Styela clava: one gene and its partner. The protein of the gene in region 2 purifies or fractionates together with the protein of the main gene of each other region. This does not show direct contact. Links are inferred from orthologs where the notes say so. Each region holds a gene or a part of one and is shown on either strand. Other genes may lie near its edges. The genes, in order: DNA-(apurinic or apyrimidinic site) endonuclease 2-like and cullin-9-like.

What was found.
Region 1: the proteins of cullin-9-like (region 2) and DNA-(apurinic or apyrimidinic site) endonuclease 2-like purify together in Homo sapiens (affinity purification with mass spectrometry; 3 studies listed by BioGRID and IntAct, counting the BioPlex papers as one, with this or other methods). This does not show direct contact. The link is inferred for Styela clava from reciprocal best matches to the Homo sapiens genes CUL9 and APEX2.

Annotation. Positions count from the first base shown.
Region 1 is NC_135255.1:15,517,140-15,528,583, reverse strand, and holds DNA-(apurinic or apyrimidinic site) endonuclease 2-like, read right to left. Parts: upstream 4,523-11,444; 5' UTR 4,215-4,522; intron 3,914-4,214; 5' UTR 3,905-3,913; coding exon 2,210-3,904; 3' UTR 1,627-2,209; downstream 1-1,626. Other genes in the region: uncharacterized protein LOC120330646, read right to left, coding at 643-759, 1,223-1,471. UniProt on the Homo sapiens protein: Functions as a weak apurinic/apyrimidinic (AP) endodeoxyribonuclease in the DNA base excision repair (BER) pathway of DNA lesions induced by oxidative and alkylating agents.
Region 2 is NC_135253.1:14,292,657-14,304,543, forward strand, and holds the start of cullin-9-like, read right to left. Parts: upstream 5,385-11,887; 5' UTR 5,305-5,384; coding exon 5,206-5,304; intron 4,577-5,205; coding exon 4,463-4,576; intron 4,098-4,462; coding exon 3,938-4,097; intron 3,259-3,937; coding exon 3,164-3,258; intron 2,742-3,163; coding exon 2,588-2,741; intron 2,120-2,587; coding exon 1,947-2,119; intron 1,866-1,946; coding exon 1,745-1,865; intron 228-1,744; coding exon 63-227; intron 1-62. Other genes in the region: putative endonuclease 4, read left to right, coding at 9,609-10,610; apurinic-apyrimidinic endonuclease-like, read left to right, coding at 11,672-11,887. UniProt on the Homo sapiens protein: Core component of a Cul9-RING ubiquitin-protein ligase complex composed of CUL9 and RBX1. The CUL9-RBX1 complex mediates ubiquitination and subsequent degradation of BIRC5 and is required to maintain microtubule dynamics and genome integrity.

The DNA of each region.
Region 1 (11,444 bases), on a different chromosome or scaffold from region 2:
GGGTAAAACCACGAGCCGCATTTTTATTTAACATAGGTTCTCTAGTAGTTGCAGCTTGCAGGTACAAAAATTTTGGTTATTGCTTGATATGCGCTGTTCGCTTCGCTCAAGCTAGCTGTAAGGGCATTATAATAGGCACGAATAAAAAAAATTGAACGGTATAGCCTCATAGGCATGGAACTACTTGCACATACCAAATTAAACTAAATTGAAAACTTGTTTCGTTAGCCACATAATTTTCCTCTGTGGGACGCACTTGGCCCGTGGGACGCAAGTTGCACAATACTTCTGTATGTCAGTAAGATTGACCATGGAGTACTTTTACATCCCATGTTTTGAACTTGATTGTTATGGCAACTTTCCTGAATTTTCATCCAATGTGTTAGTTTTTTATACATTGTCGAAGAACCCGAATTATCCTATTTGTTTCAAAATTCTTCTCTATAACTCTCTCTGTGTTCATAATTCTAGTCTAAACTCGTTGCCTGTCCAGCAATATATTAGGCAAATATTGCAAAGAAAAAAGCATAATGTGTTTGAATGGGCCATTTTCTAGTTAACTAGTAATTCAACTAGCAGTGAGTGAGTGACTAAATTCCCAAATTACTAAAACTATTCTAGGTGATATAAAGAAAGCCTTACCTTCTGCTCAGCAGCAGGGGGAGCTGGAGGGGGTTCGTCATTGGGTAATGGAGCAGGTGGTGATGGAGGAGGAGGTTCTGATGGCTCTGGTGGTTTGTCTGCAATTCCCATCATCATCTAAAAATACAAGTTGATTAGGTAATTAGATTAATTACTAGTCATTACAATGGCATATTGTATTAATTAATACTTGTATGCCAATGGAATACAAAAATACAGAAAAAAAATACAGCTGGTAATTCTCTCAAAATGTGAAACAAAAACATAGTTAAGCACAAAATATACATAAAATGGCACTGATTTAAGTATACAATGAATTTTCCATGAGTGGTGAGATGAGCTGCCAATACGGTCAAGCTTTTTATTAACAAGAAATGCAAAAACATGACGATAAATTGATCAGCAGAGCATCAAAATTTCTCTATACGGGTATGTCAAAATTCACATTGCAATTTTGACATAAAGAACCTCCCTCTCTACAATACAGACAAATTTAGCACAAAAACAGAATATTTATAATATCATTAGTTTTGTTTTTATTCGAATCAAATCTTTGAAACATCTACCATAAGCAACTCACTTGTGGGTTTTGCATTCCAAAATGTCCCATCATAGGATGAGAATACATTTGTTGTTGATGCATCATATGCTGTTGATTCCAATCAAAGGATGGAGCTTGTTGATTGTGCATCATCATTGTATGGGGATTCATTTGTTGGTGGTGACTATACTGTTGCTGCTGATTCTGACCCATATGATTGTGCCTCATTTGCCCTTGGACATCAGCAACTTTTGCTTGTCGTATTTGGTTCCACCCCATCGGCATCATATTGCTATATTTATATTAATACGCTTGCAATATTATCCAGTGTTTTATAGATTTGTTTTAAAGCATCCTTAGCAAACACATTCAAAGTTTATAATGATAGTCCGTCCGTTAGTCCAAAAATCAATACAACAAATTGATTATGGATATAGTAACCACTGCAAATTGAAGTATGAAAATATATTATTAAATTGGCTGAAATAGAAATACGAGAGCTGAACTACTTTTAAATTGCATCAAATTATATCCATAAGCATAAATCAGCAATTTAGTAGGCCTAGTAAAATGAAAATTTTCCATAATCATGACCAGCTAAACACAACTATTATTAAAGGAGGAATGGCATAGTTTATTACAAGAATACGTCATTGCGCTGTTTAAAAACAACTATTATACCGAAAAAGATGTTAACATGATAAGATTTGCATAAAATTTAAGTAGTTAGTGTGATTCCATCGAAATTTGAAATATCAAATTTATTGTGAGCTGAAAAATTTGGGTATAAACATGACTTTGAAACCAATACTGTGAGGGCAGCAGCGGTTAAATAGCCTACTCAATAACTACCATAAATCAAGTTTGCATTTAAAATTTATTCTTTCTCTCAGTAAAGAATACTGATATCTAAAAAGGCTTAAAAAAGTTTATTCCTTAATAAGAAATATTCAACTTGAAAATGGATATGTCCGAAAAATGAACATTTATCAAGGTTGGTACAAGATAATCAATGAAAAGTTTCAGTCAGGTCTTCCATTGAAAGAATGAACATCTTGCTTCAGGATTAGTTTTATGTCCATCAGGACGTCGACAACAATAAAATTGCTTTCCTAAGTTTGGACCTTCTTTTTTAACTGTTCTAAGAAAACAAGGTTCGTTGTGACCTTTACATAATGGAGGAGGTTCAGGGCCTTTCAGTACTGATTTCCAAAAGTTTGAAACTTCACTTGAGCTTTTTGTCGTGAAAGATTTATCAATTTTTGGCATGAATTCGAGTTTTTCTTGAGAAAGAGACAAAGTATTCGCTGATTTTTTAGTGTTTATTTCCATATTTACTTTAGGTTTTGAAGATTTATTTTTGGTAAAAAAATGTAGTTTCGTCTGTTTGCTTACAGTATTACTGCTGTTTTCATGTTTCCGCTTTTTGGAATTTGAAACAGATGATTTAGAAAGTTTCTGCGTAGAGGTCTTTAGTGAAGAAGATACTACTGTCTTTACAGGGCTTTGACAAAGCTGCTCATCATCATATTTTGATTTTGCTTTTTGAGAAAAAAAGGATGACAAAGTCTGCTGTCGGCCTCCAAATTCTGTCATATATTTAGTACAACATGGCGGACATTTGGATGCAGGTATCATAGTTACATTGATATCTGCTTTGACTGGACAATGATCAGATCCATGAATCTCCGGTAAAATCTCACAATTTTTAACATAATTTATATGAAACTCAGAATTCGCTAAAATATAATCAATTCTCGTGCCGTAGTTCGTTTCTCGACAAGATTTCATTGTGTTCCAACAAGTGAATGCATTTTTTCGATGTGGGAAAAAGTATCTGAAGGTATCGATGAATTTTGCTCTATTGTTGTTACAAATATCTATATTTTCCGAATCCTGTTTTAAATTTTGTTGTGTAGATTCCTCCGTATTTGATTCAGTTCCATCAGTACTAGAATCTTTTTCGCATGAAACATTTTTTATATTTTCAAATCCTTCGCAGAATTCTGTCTGGATAGAGTTTGAATTTAAATGTATTAGAGCAGAGTAGTCACCTTTGTTATATAGTATCCCATCCATCCATTCTCGGCATGGATTATCGTAAAACAATTCTGGATCATTAGGATCACAATGATCAATCCTTCTATGTGATGTATTGATATCCCCACAAATAATAACATGATTTCCCGAATTCAATATTGCGTTTGCTCGAGTTTCTAACATTTTGTAAAAATCCATTTTGAAAATTTGTCGCTCTGGTTTTTCTGGATCTGCCCTCGGACAATAGACATTTATAACAGTTAACTTTTCATTTCTTTTCTTCGCTGAATCATAAAATTCATGCTGAGTAATTATTGTTCTCCCTTCCTTATCAACTTCATACAATCTCTCCTGCGAGAATTTTGAACTTAAATCCCCATAATGCATAATGGCTCCATTTCCTGCAGACTTTTCTGCAAAATCAAATAATCCTTCTTGTGCTAGAAATGGTGTAGTATTTGCTTTACAATATGTGGCCACGCCAGAATAACCTTGGCGTGTTTGTGAAAAGCTGAAGTATGAAGAATATCCATCAACTAATGCTAAATCGCTCTCAATTTGATCTTTTGTTATTTTAGTTTCTTGAAAGCATATAATGTCAGCGTCAAGCCCATCAAGAAATGGTTTAATTGGTCCTTTCATTGATCTGAGGCCATTAATATTCCAAGTTACAAGCTTCATATTTTAAAACTAAAAAAATAACATTTACAAATGTAATGGCAGGAGAAGATATTATCTGTCAGTCTATACTTGTTCGATGAAGTTCATCAATCACAGAAACACTACTGCACTATGTTAATTTCACATTTTCAGTATTTTACCTATAAATTTCAATTTACCTTGGAACCAAATAGTTGAGTAACAGTTAATTAGACAATGAATAGTCACGAAAATAGAACAATTAGTTTCAAGGTTATTAATGCAGTACTGGCTTAAATTAGAACAAATAGCTGAAGAGTGAAATATCGTAATGTCTGCCATATATTCTCACCCTATGTGTGACATCGGACACTGCATATGCAGTTTTACATAACCGCAAGCCGTATGCTAGGAGTTGATACAAATCCAATATTTTTCTTCTTTTCTCTGCACACTAATATAATAGCCTAGTACTGTAGTAGTTAAACTAAAACAGTAAAAGGTTTGGCGGAGTTTCAAACTCCATCTTCAGGTCTTTCACCTGAATGCAATCAGTGTCTGTGTTATGACAATAAAAAATATTCAGTCCTAGTAAAACATACGTTCAGACGTTAGTCTCTACATACTGACATACATCGATGGCTGCTTTTCAAGAACCTTGTTTCCGTAGAAATGCAATTTAGTACAGCAGTACCGGTAGTCTACTAAAATAAAATTGATGGATTAGAGTACCGGTACCGGTACACCATATAAACAATTCAGTAATCTCAGAATCTGGTAATTTTATAAGTATAAGTATAATTTACCGTACCTAATTTTACCTTTCACCGATTGCAGCATTACACACAAGAATTAAACAAACAAATCGGCGCAAATATAAAGAGTAAGAAGCACGCACAATATTCTAATAAATTATTCCAAAATTTCGACAGGAATGTCTCTACTGAATGTGCCACATCAACTCCTACAACAAGCGAAACGTAAAATAATATCGATTTTAAATGAGTTACCCAAGCCAGCAAGCCCGCACTCAAGCTGCGGTGAACCAACTATTATATTCACTTCATAAACGTTATTCCATAAAAATACTTGGTTGCTCTGATAATATATATACCCTAATAGCTGATAATCCCACGCAAATGCAACAGCAAGCTCAGTCACCTCAATATGGCCTAACAACTATCGATGGCCTAACAAAAACAGTGTTGGATCACTTGGATGGCGAGTGTGGCGTCACACGAGTGTGATGCTGTGAGCTAGCACCATGCGAATGTGATCCGGCATTCTGACAATGTTAGGCGCAAGTTAAGAAGTCCTACGCGTCCACAAACTACTAAATTACATCAGGCAGAAGAAGGCCTCAATTTTCTCAAAGGCCTCGAAAATGTTTGCCGCAACATCAATTTCCCCGTTTATTTCTGCAAAAATGGGACGGACTAAAAGTAGGCCTTTATGGCCTTAGTAGTAGGCCTTAATACCTTTTAAAAACATAATTAATTAGTTAAAAATGGTCAAATTAAATGTTGAAAACGCAAATTGCAACGGGCAAACTCAATAGCAATATTTAAAACGCAGTATTAAAGGCAGTCGCACGCGCTTGGTCACCACATATGCTAGGCACATATTCAGGCACTTCGAAAAATAAATAAAATGGCATATTCACTAATAAAAGACGGAGAAATAAACATATTAACCACACTGATTAGCCTGAGTAAATATCTAAGAGATGCACTTGAGTCTAGTACTGGAATTTAGAAATAATAAATTGATACCGGTAGGCACTTATTTAGGCACTCCGAAAAAAAAGGTGAAATGGACGTAGTAACTCCTAGAAAGATAATGAATTAGTTCAAAATATTTAAATTAAATGTTGAACGCAAAAATTGCAACAGTTAAATCCCAATACTGTAATGATTTTAAAACGTAGTACTAAAGGGAGACGCACGCGCTCTGTCACCACATATGCTAGGCACATATTTAGGCACTTCGAAAAATAAAGAAAATGGCAATTATCACTAATAAAAGACAGGGAAATAAAAATATTACCCACACTGATTAGCCTGGGTAAATATCCAATAGATGCACTTGAGTCTAGTACTGGAATTTAGAAATAATAAATTGATACCGGTAGGCACTTATTTAGGCACTCCGAAAAAAAAAGGTGAAATGGACGTAGTAACTCCTAGAAAGATAATGAATTAGTTCAAAATATTTAAATTAAATGTTGAACGCGAAAATTGCAACAGTTAAACCCAATAACGATTTTTAAAACGTAGTATTGAAGGGAGACGCACGCGCTCTGTCACCACACATGCTAGGCACATATTTAGACACTTCGATATATAAAGAAAATGGTAATTATCATGAATAAAAATACAGAAAATGAAAATATTAGTCAAAATAATTAGCCTATTTGAATATCCGATGAATGCACTTGAGTCTAGTAGTGATATTTGAGAATAATAAATTGTTACCGGTAGGCACTTTTTAGTCACTTATTTAGACACTTCTAAAAATGCGTAAAATGGGCGTAATAACTTTTAAATAGATAATGAATTGGTTTAAAATATTTAAATTAAAAAATTAATATGCAAATTGCAACAAGTAAACCCAATGATATCGGTTTTTATATTTTGCATATTTGAAAATATCGTAATTCTTTACTTTGTAATTTTGTTTTTGATAAATTAAAATATAAGACATCCCCCGAAAAAAAGCCCTAGTGGTAATTTTAGGAAGAAATTTGAAATAGGACACTGTCTTAATTTCGCGGAAACACGGTAAAAGGTGTCTACCGGTAACAATTTATTATTCTCAAATACCACTACTAGACTCAAGTGCATCTATTGGATATTCACCCAGTCCCAGGCTAATCATTTTGACTAATATTTTTATTTTCTTTTTTTTATTGGTGATTATTCCCATTTTTTTTTTCGATGTGCCTAAATATGTGCCTAGCATATGTGGTGACAGAGCGCGTGCGTCTCCCTTTAGTACTAAGTTTTAAAAATCATTATTGGGTTTAACTGTTGCAATTTTTGCGTTCAACATTTAATTTAAATATTTTGAACTAATTCATTATCATTCTAGGAGTTACTACGTCCATTTCACCCTTTTTTCGAAGTGCCCACCGGTAACAATTTATTATTCCTAAATTCCAGTACGAGACTCAAGTGCATCTATTGGATATTTGTCCAGGCTAATCAGTGTGGGTAATATTTTTATTTCTCTGTCTTCTATTGGTGATAATTCCGATTTTCTTCTTTTTTCGAATTGCCTAAATATGTGCCTAGCATATGTGGTGACCGAGCGCGTGTGACTCCTTTTAAAACTACGTTTTAAATATTGTTATTCGGTTCACATATTGCAATTTGCGTGTTCAATATTTAATTTGACAATTTTCAACTAATTCATTATCATTTTAAAAGTTATTACGCCCATTTCACCTTTTTTTCGATGTGCCTAAATAAGTGCCTACCGGTAACAATTTATTATTTCTAAATTCCAGTACTAGACTCAAGTGCATCTATTGGATATTTACCCAGGCTAATCAGTGTGGGTAATATTTCCATTTCTCTGTCTTTTATTAGTGATAATTGCCATTTTCTTCTTTTTTCGAAGTGCCCAAATATGTGCCTAGCATACGTGGTGACAGAGCGCGTGCGTCTCCCTTTAATACTACGTTTTTAAAATCGTTATTGGATTTAACTGTTGCAATTTTCGCGTTCAACATTTAATTTAAATATTTTGAACTAATTCATTACCTTTTTAGGAGTTACTACGTCCATTTCACCTTTTTTCCGAGTGCCTAAATAAGTGCCTAACGGTAACAATTTATTATTTCTAAATTCCAGTACTAGACTCAAGTGCATCTATTGGATATTTACCCAGGCTAATCAGTGTGGGTAATATGTTTATGTCTCTGTCTTTTATTAGTGATAACTGCCATTTTCTTTATTTTTCGAAGTGCCTAAATATGTGCCTAGCTTATGTGGTGACCAAGCGCGTGCGACTGCCTTTAATACTACGTTTTAAATATTGTTATTGAGTTTGCCCGTTGCAATTTGCGTTTTCAACATTTAATTTGACCATTTTTAACTAATTAATTATGTTTTTAAAAGGTATTACGCCCTTTTTACTTTTTTTCCAAAGTGCCTAAATAAGTGCCTAAAAAAGTGTCTAATTTGCAAGTGCCTACTTTTAGTCCGTCCCTGCAAAAATGTCCAATCAGCAATAAGTCTACGATAGGGTTACCATATCTGAAAAGACAAAATCCCTGACAAAATATTAATGAGCCACATTGACCGATTTTGCAACCAAAACACTTATATTATGGTATAAATTCACGATGTATCCAAAGGCACAAGCTGTCTCCGCTTTCTCGTGAGAATAGAATAAATACGGAACAAAACGAAAGGATCATAATTGTTGCTATTTTTAGCGGTGTGGCTCAACGGGCTAAGCGTTAGGAATACGCTCGCCACCGCACCTCTAATTACTCTGCGTGGGTTCGCAGGTTCGAATCCCATGCAGGGACGGTTATGTGCGAGAGGATTGCTGGACTCCTCGCCGTCGTTGGGTGGTTCACGTAACCGCTGGTCGGTTACGGCTTCCTCCACCACCAAGTCCATGCTTCCGAAAACAAACAATACAGTAAAACTAATCCCATACCCGACTTGGAATGATAACCGGACGAGAGGCCGTGGTTCGCCATATGGATAAGCCGTCTCATCGGCTTTCCTCTCCCCCGGGATAAATATGTAAATCCTATCCTATCCTATCCACTAGTGACTAAAACTAAACCCTAGCATGGAATAAAGTAGGCCTACAGGTGAAGGTAGTTATAAATAAATAAAATAAATAAGTTTATTTCGACTCCATAATCAGCAAAAAGGCTATAAAATGGTTCAACCAAAATACCGATTACAGATGGAAATTCAGGTTATATGTGACATTATTACAATTATCTGAATGCGACGAAATATCTGAAAATTTGAGGATTTGTAGCAGGGATTCACTGTAAACCCCTTGACACTTAAGAATTTTTTGAAATTGCTCCCTTACGCAAGTTTGACCACTAAAATCCCGGACATGTCAAGGAAAAATATGGCGTATGGCAACCCTAGTCTACGATGACGCAACAACGGAAATTGACGCAGTCGCTCAGTCACCTCTTTCACTAAGACAGATATCCAAATAAACATGGTTGCAAACAATCGACCCGTGTTCGCGATTTTGTGTGCAATTTGTCAGTTTTCAATTGTGTTTCAAAAAATTAGTCGTACATCAAATACTTAAATTATCATTAGTTGCAATTATCAAAAATTAGTCCCGAATAAGCTGCAATAGACGAGACTAAAATGAGCTATCTGCAAGAGGCACGTGGTGACGTGGATGAATTCTTTGTCGATACTCTACCACCTTAACTAATTTTAGAATATATTTCCAGAGATCTCAAATTCTGTTTTCCTTTCAACTTTTTATCAAGGCAATGGAAAGAAATGAAAAATGCATTATTTAATTGCATACGTACCGGTATTTCAAATTGCCACGTTTTTATTTCGACTCACTGCCTTGTTGAAATGAAAAACATACAAAATATTGACAAAGAAGATAATTCTGCTAAATAACCGTTGATCTGGAGAACAAAAATGGAACACCATTATTATAACAGTTCTTTAAAAATATGTTGAACATCTTGGCGAATCATTTGGATTATGAACCGATACAGGTTTACAAATCTCCCCCTTATTATTGAGTGAGCACATGCTTTGTAAGATAGGATTTACGTATTTATCCCGTAGACAGGAAAGTCGATAAGACGGCTTAATCATATGACGTTCCACGTAGGGTTGGGATTTCGGGACCAGTTTTTAAACCCCAACCTTTATTTAATATAGCGGTACACTATTTAGCTATTTAAGTATTCGCGGCACATTCATCACAAAAAGGAACATTTTCCACCCATAAAGAATGCGATAGTCGAACGCGAACAAATGGTTAATAGTTAACGATATTAGAACAGTTTTCTTACATTGTAAACGAGAGGTCTTCGGAACACCTCACATTATTGTAAAAGTTGCGCGGCCGCACGAATAATACGTGGTCTTCAAAGTAACCGCTGATCACGTGCTTCGGTTTTGCTCGCCCTTCCCCGTTCCACGTTACGCACTCATTATTATCGCATGTATTCTTACTTTTTCACAACCTAAGTCATTTTTGTTACAATTCAATATGTTTTTCCCATTGCCAAAATCATTCAATAGTGTTACTGTCGGCAGTTGCGATAGAAATGAAAGTGGCAAACAAACTGTATTTCATTACAGCAATTAATTATTATCGCTAAAAACTCTAAATAGGTTCAAAGTAGTTATAAACAATTTTCACAGCTGGACGTATCTTTTCACGTTATGAAGTTCGCGCAAGACCCGAGCATAATTTGATGGCAAAGATCATAGCATTTACTAAGTCGAGACGCTTATTCGACTCTTCAGACCACATAAGAAAGATAACCGTTTTTGTGTTCGAGATATGGAATGATCGTCAATTTCCCCACGCTTTCGTGAAGTAGGCTAGTGCAATTTACTAAATTCATGAAGGTTTTATTAAGTTTCATTGCATCAGTGTTTGGACTGCCACGTGTTTCGCCAGATGACTGGCGTGTTTACTGATCGCAAGGGTGGGCAAAATAGTATATTTTCATCGAATCGAATGATTTTAACGAATTGTCGAATATCGGGTTAAATTCGGGATTTTATTCCGATTTTTAACTTTTGGGTCGGCTTTGATCTTTCTTGTCACCGTTTGTAAATTAACTGTCCCAATTTTGAGCTACAAAATACAATCATTTCTGACGCCGGAATGCGGATATTTATGAAGACGATAGTTGATCTTCTTGATTTTACTTTTCAAAAGTGTGGCTGTTTTATTTCCGTATTAAATATTGAATAAAAACCCTGCAAAGCTCGAATTATGATTAAATAAGTCGTCAATAATGGCAATTCTACTAGTCAAGTAATAATTCCTTGGTACAATTTGAGAAAAATTTCGCACAATAATTCCACTTCCACTCAAACCTATAATTTGTTAGAATATCTAATCTTGATTTCTAATCTTGATAACAAAGCCCTAAAATCCCGGGATTTTTAGGAAATAATTGCGGGATCGGGATAGAAAAAAACAGTCTAAATCCCGGGATTTCGGGATCGCGATTTCCCGGAATCCCAACCCTAGTTCCACGGCCTCGTTTGTTTACCAGTCCATGTCCGTTATGGGGATTAGTTAGTTAATTGTTTTCCGATGCATGAACTTGATGTTGGAGGAAGTCGTGACGGATCAGCCGTTACGTAAACCAACCTATGGCGGCGAGTCCAGCAATTGGATTCGAACCTGCGAACCCATGCAGAGTAATCAGAGGTGCGGCGGCGATGGCATTCCTAGCGGTTAGCACAGGGGTGGGCAACTTCTCTAGTCGGCGGGCCAAATGTGGGAAAATGAAGTACTCGGCGGGCCGGATGGTTACAAAAAATACTTCGACATCCAATCTTTATTAAATGCACATGGTGACGCTCTGGAATATTAT
Region 2 (11,887 bases):
TGGCATTATAAGTAAAAAAATACTATAATAACTATGATTTAATATGAGTATTCATAGCAAACCTTTGGTTGATGATTTGAGCTGATTCACAGTTATATCGTCTGTTGTTTGTTTGTTATTCCATCCCATCACTTCACACAATTCATAAATCAAATCACTTATAGCCATTGTAACTTCAAATTTGCGATTGCCAAACAAAGCAACATTTGGATTTGCTGCAGGAATTTCTTGAAAATAAATAATTTATGTGATATTTTTACAACAGTGCCTATTGCAGGAATTTATTAGACAATTGAAAAAAATTTGTTAGTACAGAGCTTTGAAACCTTTAAAATTCAAGACACAATTACTTCCTGTAATACAAATTATACCGCATTGAAAAAACATTTTTATTTTATCAATAATAAATTATATCTAAGGAAATTTTCATACCATATGCAAATTTACCTTGTTTTGTACACATAAACAGTCATTACATCTTCATTTATCTGGTCATACTTCTCTATTTTGGAGTTAAATTCAACAATATCATTTCAAGTAAAATTTTAAACTCAGAAATATATGACGTAATTTTTTTGGAAATGCACTTAATTAATTTGTGACGCACAAGTGCACAGGAAACAATGAGCTAGGCCTAGTACATTTATTATTTTTCAATAAATGTGAATTAGTTTTAATAAATCCACAAATAAGTTTGGTGATATTAAATTATCTACGGTAATTAAATTTTTTAGCTTCGTTTTCAATCACATGCAGATATAATAAATTGGACACATAATATATTTTCTAAATTTCCATATGTGGGTTGCAATGAGAGTTAGTACATTAGAAGAAACAGGCCTCTTGAAGTAACAACTAATTTAGTTATAAGTTATATTTGTTTTTTCCTTGTTATAACACAACTCAAAAATGAAGCAAAAATGCCAACTGAAGGATTCTGTGTTTTGTGTGTAACTGAAAAAAATCAAGGAAATCAGCGAAGGTAAAAACCACATGAAATCAGTGATTTGTTCGGACTTGGATATGAAAACACTGTAAATCAACTTCTATATAATATATAGAAATAGCAATAGAGTTAAAGTTGAGACTCCTATAATGTACTGAAATATCTAACTGTGATTACATTAATCAGTACTGTTTCAAGTCAACACAATCTAAATCAGCAATTTCTAACAGAGTTTTTTAAAACAAAAATCCCCAGTTACACAACAATGCAACTTCCTCATAACTGATATAAAGGGAACTTCCCAAACATTGACGTGGTATATTATTACCAATCACTTCTTGCTAATATAAATAAACCAGGGAACCTGGACCGCATGCATGCATACACTCAGCGCTGGGCATTTCGAATAGGTTAAGACAAAAATTTCAAACTGCCATGCCATCCCTCATTTTTATAAAGAAGGCATATTTTCAATTTCATGATACAATTCTGACATATAACTCTTTTTTTTCTAGTGAGTTATTGATGAAACATATTTCTTATTGTGTGTGAACGCTCAGCAAACTGTCTGAGTGATGAATTTATTTATGAATTTTCAGTATTTTATGTGCCTGGAGGGCCCAATACAATAAAAAGCATATAAAATTGAATATAATCCAAGTAATCGAGATTCGATTCAATTCGAAAAAATATTCGATTCGATCCTGATATCGATAGGTATTCAAAAATGCCCAGCCCTACATATATTGTGATACAAAGCAATAGATCAGTTACAAAATTTTAAATTTCTACAATTACCTTTTGTGAAACTTTTCTCTTCTGAACCAGTCATCAGCTGCATGAATTGGGAATCCATATCTAACAACGATGTTACTTTCAAATAACACTTCATCAGTTTGAATAATGATTTCCCAGGTACCTACAAATAAAACCAAATTTTGACTATGGACGTCGAAAGAATGTAAATTTGAATAAATAATTTAACGAAGGCCAAACAAACCTGAGGAAGTTGCATGAAGTCGAGAGCTACAGCATGAGCTTCTTCACCTGATGATGTTTCAGCAAACATTTCCATTACTGTATTCCGATTTTCAAAATCAGCATCATCATCGCTGCTTGACATCTGTCCATGTCTATCTTGAATCAATGAAAGTAGCACATACGCTCTACTACCTATAGAAAAAAAAATTGTCAGAAATGGTTATCAAAAATGTAATATACCACTCCAGATAATCCAGTGATTTATAATATCAGCGTGCGGTTAGCAATCAAAAAATTGACTTGTTGAGATGACCTGAATGAACTATATAACTACCGGTAACTGTTTTTGTTTCAGCAATTCTCAGATGATTAGGATAGGACTTGCATATTTATTCAGGAGGAGAGCAAAGCAGACAAAACAGCTTGATCATATGGCGGTTACCAGTTCATGTCGGGTGTGGTATTAGTTAGATACTTACCTGTTTCACATGCATGGACTTGATGGTGGAGGAACTGACCAGAGCTTACGTGAACCACCCTATGGCGACGATCCCACGAACCCAGGCAGGGAAAAAACAAGCGTATTACTAACGCTCAACACAATGCGCCACATGGCCGAACCCTAACTCAGAAAAGTTTGGGTTTCCCAAATTATCCTACCTCCATCATGTGAAGCCAATGCACGAAGCATTTTCCCAGCATGTCTCTTTGTTTCAACTTCTTTAGACCACAATAATTCCAATATCAAGTCCAGAGCACCGGTCTGTCTGAAGACGCTAGCTAAAGATCCAAGACTGGCATATGTACTCAACACCTTGAATTAAAAATATCAGTAAAAAAACTGCAACGTGCATAGATAAGACTTCGTCATAAAAGTTTAGCATGCTTCAGAGTGTTCAGACTTTTCATCAAATGCTGATCAGAAGATCTTTATCAAATATTCCTATCAAATACTAAATTTACATTTCAATGTCCGTTGCTAGTTCAAAATTTATTTATTTTGTTGGGAAACATGTAATCAATGTATTTGTAAAAAACGATACGCTTTCTCATGTCTGTCGTGTAAATATTCATAGAGCTTTTTAGAAGCTCAGAAGTGAAGCACTTAATAATAAACATAAACGTGAATATTCGAAATTCACCAAAAAGCAAGTATAACATAAAGACATAATATCGTAAAAAATAAAAAGCCAAAAAAGAAGCAGAATCTAATAACAGCAAATTAAAAAGTAATACCTTGAGAGTATAAGAAATATTTTTAATGGGTTTATGTTCCTCATTTTCAGATTTTTTCATTTGTCTTCTGGCTCTGATAACAAGTTTTTGAACATCTGAATTGAATAAGAGTGCTGATTATTTATTTGTATACTCACAACAAAGTCTATGGTTTTGATTGAGTCATTGTTCACAATATTATTAAAACTCATCAATAACAAGGATACACCTACAAAAGCACTTCAATCAGTGCAAACATTCATATTCAACTATTAGTGGGTTACTGGGCAACTTATGAGTAATTTCCAGTTTGTGAGAAGCGTAATAAACAACTTCATTGTGTCAAATTCACAATTCAATAAGCAAAGGTAGAAGGAAATAAATGATTAATACATAATAGTTCCTTATAAATGTTAATAAGTGTAGTGTATATATAGTGAAATAAAATTACTATTTTTCTAATCAATAACATAATCTATACCCAAGAATGGCATAAACCAAACAACTATTCCAAATACACTATAAAATAAAACAATTTTTTGAACATGGAATATCTCATATATTCTGATTTGGGTCATGTACAATAAAGAAATCAACACAAATTATTTAAATTCATTTTCTGCAATATAGTAAACTGAAGTACTGATTAAAAAACGTCCACATCTATTGTAATCAGGGTACAATACTACTTTGCGATTGCAAATTTTGATTCCAAATATTTTGGCTTATTACTCAAACCTCAACTGTTAAAGTTAATTAAAAAATCAGAGACAAAAATTTTCAATAAGACCCTACCATCACGCATATCTTCAAAATCTTCTGAATCAGTATCAGTAGCTGTAACTTTATCATCAGTTTGATCTTCAGTACCAACATCAGATGAAGATGTCTTGTTTGTTAAATTACTCAAACCAGTGAATCCTGAACCAAGCAGTTTACTACAGCATACCTCAACCTGGATTAGTAAAAATTATAATTCATCATTTTTAATCCCATAAAGGTGAATTAAATAGAAGTATTATCAACCAAATATTTATTAATATATTCAAAAATACTTTTAAACATTTTTGAAAAAAATTCATAAACAAATAGCAGCGAAATAGAAAATTATATACTTTTGAGTAAACTGCAACCAATTCTATTTTAAATTCTAATTTACTGAAAATTCAAACATTTATTTGAAGACTTAAATAATCGAAGGTAAGCACAAATAAAATCATACCCTTATATTCATACTAGTTATTAAATTCAATGGCACATTTAAAAAAACTACTGGTACATTCTAGGTTACAAATTGCATGTTAAAACACCATAGCCTACTTCTTCCTGTGTCATCCATATCAAAATATTCTTGTCATTTTTGCCATCAGATGATGACAAACCATCAGAATGATTGACTGAACTATTATTTTGCGAGACAAAGCACCATTTTACCTATAAAAAGATTTAAATCAATTAAATCATTAAGTTTACTCATACTGTTGAAAAGTTCAATAGAATCAATAGCCCTGTCAAGCCAGATTCCAAGAATGGCCCCCATATTATTAAAAGACATCAATTATAACAGTGTGTAAACCCTTCCTTTACGAGACAGTTTGGGCCTCCATATCGGTACAAATCGGCACTGTGCAATAAACTAAAATAAAGCGCAGTTTAAAAATGTCACCATTGGATTCCTTGAAAAAAAGTAATCCAATATATCGAAGGAAAAAAAATTTACCGTAGCATTCGAAAGCTTTCAGGAAAAAAAAACGCAATTTTGGTCATGTGACGGCTGACGCATTCAAATTATTATTGAGACAAGCATGGTGCAATCTAACGCATCTGCCGCCAGACGCCCTCGTTCTACAGACAAATCGAGTGTTTGTTTTATTGAACTCGTTGTCGGGACATCTTGGAATCGAAGAACTCTGCCCTACTGGAATATGATCATAAAATTGAACTTTGTTAAAAAAAATAATAAAAAATAACATTCAAAATTTTGTCCCTGATTAATTATTCAACAATAGCTGAACTCTTTATACCTTAATTATTTAAAATATCTAATACATATATACACTAACCAAGTATTCTACATGTTGTAGAGATGCGCCATTCCTTTGTCTCAATATTTCTTTCGGCTCTAAAACTTGATTCCTACCAACTTGTAATGAATCCTTCATGATAGCAGGATTGTAAGAATCAATCAATGTAGAACACCAGGCCCATCAGACATTATGCATTAGAAATATATTCAACTAGTATACTTTGTTTATGATTCAGAAAAAAAATTCATACAGAATAAATCACAATATATACTTCCTATACAATATACACTTCTGGGATGGTCTTACTACTTACTGAATACAGCGCGAAACAGCGCAAAGAGCGCAAAACAGCGCGAAACAGCGCAAAACAGAGGGAAACGGCGCAAAACAGTGTGGAAACAGCGCAAAACAGAGGGAAACAGTGTGAAGCAGAAAAAAATTTTGCGATGAGTTCGGGGCACCTTGTTTTGGGTTGGACTACCACGGCAGCAAATTAAAAACACAAACCAACGTATGTAGCCAGTAATGCTGTAATGGCAGGTCTGCCCCTGCTGGTGACACATTTTGGGTACCATAATTTAAAACATTTTCCATATGGATATGGTTGGCTTTAGGGTTAGAGTTAGGTAAAAAGGGACCTCCGGAAGTATGTGCACCAAGATGGCGCACAACCTGAAAATAGTATGTGTGTGTGTGTAGCGGATTAAGATTGTGCGACATATTGCTGCACATACTTCTGGAGCACCAAAAAGGTAGATAAAATTTTGCATGATAACCTATAATCCGGTACATAACCTTGTAAATATACCGGAAATAGCGCCATAAAACCATGGCGAGAGGTGCCGTGGTTCTTTCGTGGCAGGAGGTGGTAATGACTGCGTCTCCTGTTTTGCGCTGTTTCCCTCTGTTTTGCGCTGGTTTCCTTCTGTTTCGCGCTATTTTGCGCTGTTTCGCGCTATTTTGCGCTCTTCAGCTCTTTGCGGTGTTTCGCGCTGTATTCAGTAAGTAGTAAGACCCCTTCTGGGATTGTTATATTTCATACAGTCATATGGGTCACAGTTTTATAGGAACCAATGGTTTCGCTCGATTTTGTTCAACTACTCGACAAAAATGTTAAGAAGTTTTACAAATATGTCATTACATAAACATTAATGCATCCATTGAATATCTATCGTACCGGTACTAACTTTATTCATTTTATAGTTCATCAATATTATCTAATCACAATTTATTTCGTAGTTCTGGAGTTATTCCAAATTTAAAGTAGTCTAAGTTATCATAATGAAGTATTGAAAAGATGTTAAAAGCAACTACGATACGGTACCATAGTCCCAGACTGGATTCCATGGCAGGTGCACGCCCGAGGGCGCTAGCGCTCTGCAAAAATGCACGCAAGCGAAATCAATTTTGCACGCCGAAAATTTGCAATTGCTCACCAATGTAAATCGGTTTAAATGGTTTTAAAATCAATAATCCTGTAATATAAATATGCCAAAATATTATAACTCCACAATTGTCGACAAATACCAGCTTGCAAGATTTGGTCTGATCGAAATATTGCGAAGCAAAAAGACCATGGACCTTTCCCCAACCTTTGACCCGCGAAAAATTCCTCTCATTGTTACGTCCTTTTTTGCATCTTGCTGATTGGCCAATGTCACGAAGTAAACAAGGAAGTCGATGCTCGGGGAAAGGTCCATATCGTGTTGAATGATAGGAAATAGGAATCCCGTGAGAATAGTTATGGACGAAAACACCGCCTCCGCACCAATGGCCAAGTACGGCTCTGATTCAGCGTATTTTTTATACAATAATTTTACACGAATGTACTGAACAGTACCGGTATCTAAAGTTGCTCAAACACTCCCAAAATTAGTGACAAAGTATGAAAATAATGTTTGGGGTCAAAGGTCAAACGTCCATTTTGCTCTAATTTGACGTATTTTTTATCCATTAATTCTACGTAAAAACACTACCAAAATTAATGACAAAGTATGTCCATTTTGCTCTGGTTCAACGTATTTTTTATCCAATAATTTTACGCGGATGTACTGAACAGTACCGGTATCCAAAGTCGCACAAACACTCTCAAAATTAGCGACAAACTGTAGAAATAATGTTTGGGGTCATAGGTCAAACGTCCATTTTTTCTCTGATTCAACGTATTTTTTATCCGATACCGGTAATTTTACGCGGATGTATTGAGAGGTATCTGATGTCAAAGTCAGTTGCACGCGAGTGCAGTTGTTTTGCACGTCGTGAGCTATAATTGCAGGCCAGGAATTCTTATTTGCACGCGGGAATTTCTGATTGCACGCCCGATTTCTCGTTCAAAAAGGCCATGAAATCCAGACTGGCCATAGTCTACTGTCTTCAGATTCATTAATATCTAAAGTTTGTTTTATGATATTAGGCTATATAGACTATTGTCTGAATGTTGACTTCTGGACAACAAGACTCTTGTTTGTCAGTTGGTGGAAATAATTTTTTCTCTTCTGCCTTTGATTAGTGCCTAACCATCGATAACGGTACCGGTACGGTACCTTAACACTGTAACATCTTACAGTCTTATATCTGTATATGGTCTAACATCCCTCTGTTCCTGGGCCTATAAATATAATTTAATTGAGAGTGCGAGATTCAGAGATTAGGTACGGTACCGTAAATGATTGCAGACGAATGTCTGAATGTGCAACAACACCCAGACACCAGAATTTTGTACTACGGCACAAAACCTGTCGCCGTGACGTCCACTAATAGCACACATTCAGGTAGTTACCGGTATAACATGGCCTTCACATACCGGTGTGCCACTATCAGACTATGTTCCTACTAAAATGATTATGTTTTCCATAAAATAAATACGTCCATACCAAAATGGCCATCTCTCTATTAAAATGCACATTATGCACACTAATGCTATTTTATGTCAATACTAACAAAAGGCTGTGGCGCCCAGTAGTGGTACTTGGACATTTTAGTAGCGACATAAGTGATTTAGTGGTGACATAGTCATTTTAGTTAGGACATTAGTTAGTTATATACCGGTATATCAATAGCCATTATACACTACCACCACATTCAGAAAACAAACAACGAAAGAGTCGTACATTCGCATTCACGACCAATACGTGCGCGTGCGTCATGTAATGGATTTAAATTTGGCAAAAAATAAAATTTTGTACTAAAAAAAGGTGTATATATCATAATTTATAACCGTTGGTTGGATTAAAACATTTAAGAACGGATTCTCTTTTGCATCGAACTCACTAACAACAGGTACATTCATTACAGAAAACCACGCCAATTTTACAGCCCCTCAAATGAACGTCCCTGCGAATAACTTTTGTATTTCGTATACATTTTTTTTTATTGTTGCAATGCTTGTTTTTTGGTTGACGAAACGATAAATCCGTCTCACTCTGGTGCTGTTTCTACGCAATCTACATTATCGTCGTGACACGCTTTACATGAATCCAATACGTAACTTTCGTAACGGCAAATAGGCAATGGACAAAAATATTGAATCCATATTGGTACCGCAATACAGTTGACAAAGTGTATATTGACCATCTGAGTTAAAAAAACACGTTTATCTTATAATCTGATGAAGTGATCTTGATTGATTGATTGAATCTAATATATGTTACAATTTTTTATTCTAAGGAATTTCAATAACGGCACATTATCATGACCTATGGCCGACAATAATTGGATATTACGGTACACCTCTGCTGCTTTATGTTTATATTCGTATCTGTAACACAGACGTTGTGGAACCCAGTAAAAATGTCATTTTCTAAAAAATTATCATTTCGTAAGAATATTGTCAATTCGGCTAAGCGCCGTAGGGTTGAAAGTGCAGTTTCAAGTATTTTGTGGCGTCTACAGCTGCCGCAAAACCATGGCGGGATTTCCAAACCACGGCCACTAAGACCAAACCCACGGCGACTGACTTTTTAGCTGCCACAAACCAATAGCGAGCTGCCGTGGTTACGGCAGCAAATCGAATACCACCAATTTTACTGCCGTAACCACGGCAGGTCGGCTGTAATAGCAGGGCTGCCCCTAATCTGCTGATGGTGATAAATATTTGGTGAGTTGGAATGTTTTTGTTATGGATACAGTTTGGATGGATTTGGGGTTAGGGTTAGAGTTTAAGTAGATATAATTTCGCATGATAAACTAAAATATGGTACATAAATTTGTAAATATACCGGTAATAGCGCCATAAAACCATGGCAGGAGACGGCGTGGTACGTTCGTGGCAGGAGCTGCCATGAAGTGGTAAGAACTGCGCCTCTAGGGTTGAGTTTATGACACTTGAATTGAAACTAGTTGAAATTTGCTGGAAATCTGGCCATTGTTAGTTATAAAGAATTTTAATGATAGTTTACTATACTTCAGTTTCAAAAAAATTATAAAATATTTTAAAAATAATGATGCGATTACGATCACAGAATGCAAGGATATCAAAAAAGACTGGAAGTAAGAGAAAGCAAAAATCAGTTAAGGCAACAACAAGCAAATCACAGAAATTGAATGATAAGATAACGGGAGATTTTTCACAAAATAAATTGTTCGATAATAGTATATCTACATTATACATAGGTGCTCAAACATCCATTTCAGGTGGTCTTTGGAAGGCTGCAAAAGAAGCTTCACAGATAGGAGCTAAAGCATTTGCTTTATTTTTACGCAATCAACGTCAGTGGAAGATCAAACCTCTAGACGCAAATGAAGTTGAGCGTTTCAAATTAGCTTGTATCGAATATGGCTACTCTCCTGAACATATCATTCCTCATGGATCTTATCTTATGAATTGTGGATCTCCCAGTGACGAAATACGCCAAAAGAGCCATGATTTGTTGGTAGAAGAGCTGAAGAGAACAGAGGAATTGGATCTTCTATTTTTTAATTTTCATCCTGGATCAACACTGGGCAAAATTTCTGTCCAGACTTGCATATCTTATATAGCAGATGCTATTAACAAAGCACATAAATGTACAAAGTATTCTGTGATTTTACTGGAGAACATGTGTTGCCAAGGCAACACAATTGGTGGTAACTTGAAAGAACTAAGTGATATTATCTCATTAGTTAATGACAAATCTAGGATAGGTGTTTGCATTGATACATGCCATGCGCATGCCACTGGTTATGATCTTTCAAAACAAGAAGGTTATAATAATTTGATGAATGATTTGGAAAACATAATAGGAATTAGGTATGTCAAAGCCTTACATTTAAATGATTCAAAAGGATTGTGTGGTTGTCATAGTGACAGACATGAGAATATTGGTCGGGGCACAATTGGTTTAGATGGTTTTCGTAGAATAATAAATGATTCCAGATTTGCTAATGTTCCTATGATAATAGAAACACCAATGACTTTATCTGATGCCGAAGAAATTAAACTTTTATATTCATTGAAAATATGATCTGACAATTCATACTTTAATTATGAACATACCGTATTGTGCGAGTTTACTTCTTCTATCGCTGTATCGTAGGAGATTATTTAACATTATGGAATTTGTATTTCAATTCTCAAAAATAAAAATATATCTGTAATTCTGTAACCTCAATATATCATATATTTAAACTTGTATTTAAAATGAAAAAGTTACAAAGAAAATAAATGGATTGTCTCTATTCACTGGCAAGCTCTTTCAATACCAATAATTGAAAAATTCAGTCTCTTTTTTCATACGAGATTTAATGTATGCACATATAAGCCAATTGTTTTCTAGCACAAAATCTCACTCAATTTTAAATTTCTCTACCTTTCGTGTGTTGAAATATACCATGTCAAGAAGAAGCTCTCGTCTTGCAGAGAAACAACAACCAAGTTATAATGAGAAAATAAACAATGACGCTGGTGAGGCATGTAAGAATGGGCCATCACCCAGAAAGAAAAAATTAATCAAAAAAGAATCGTATTCAAAACCTAAGATTGTGAAAAAGGTCTCGGAAAAGGAGAAATCTGAATTTTTTAACAGTTCGAATCAAATTGATACTGAAGAAACTATCAAAACAGAAAGCAAAGGCAAAGAATCTAAATACAGTTCCAACATGATTATTGGTTGTCATACATCAATATCAGGTGGATTATGGAAAGCACCAGAAGAGGCAGAAAAATTTGGAGCTAGAGCTTTTGGTTTATTCACACACAATCAACAGCAATGGAAAATGAAGCCGTTAGTAACTGCACATGCAAAGCGTTTTCGAGAGACCTGTCAAAAATATGGATATGCTCCTAATCATATTGTACCACATGGGTCATATTTGATGAATTGTGGGTCTGCCAAAGATGATGTGAGGCAAAAAAGCTGGGGAATGCTTGTTGAAGAACTAAAAAGATGTGAGGAACTTGGATTGGTTTATTTTAATTTCCATCCCGGCTCAACCCTTGGAAAAATTTCAGTAGAAACTTGCTTATCTTATATTGCAGAGGCAATCAACAAAGCTAACTAAATTTGTAATAACTTTACTAGAAAATATGAGTTGCCAAGGAAACACAGTGGGTGGCAAATTTCAGGAACTGAGGGATATTATCGAAATGATCGAAAACAAAGATAGAGTGGGAGTCTGTATCGACACTTGCCATGCTCATGCAGCTGGTTATGATCTATCTACAGACGAGGGTTATAATATTTTTACAGAAGGGTTGGAGACAATAATTGGCTTACAATATGTCAAAGCTTTTCATCTTAAT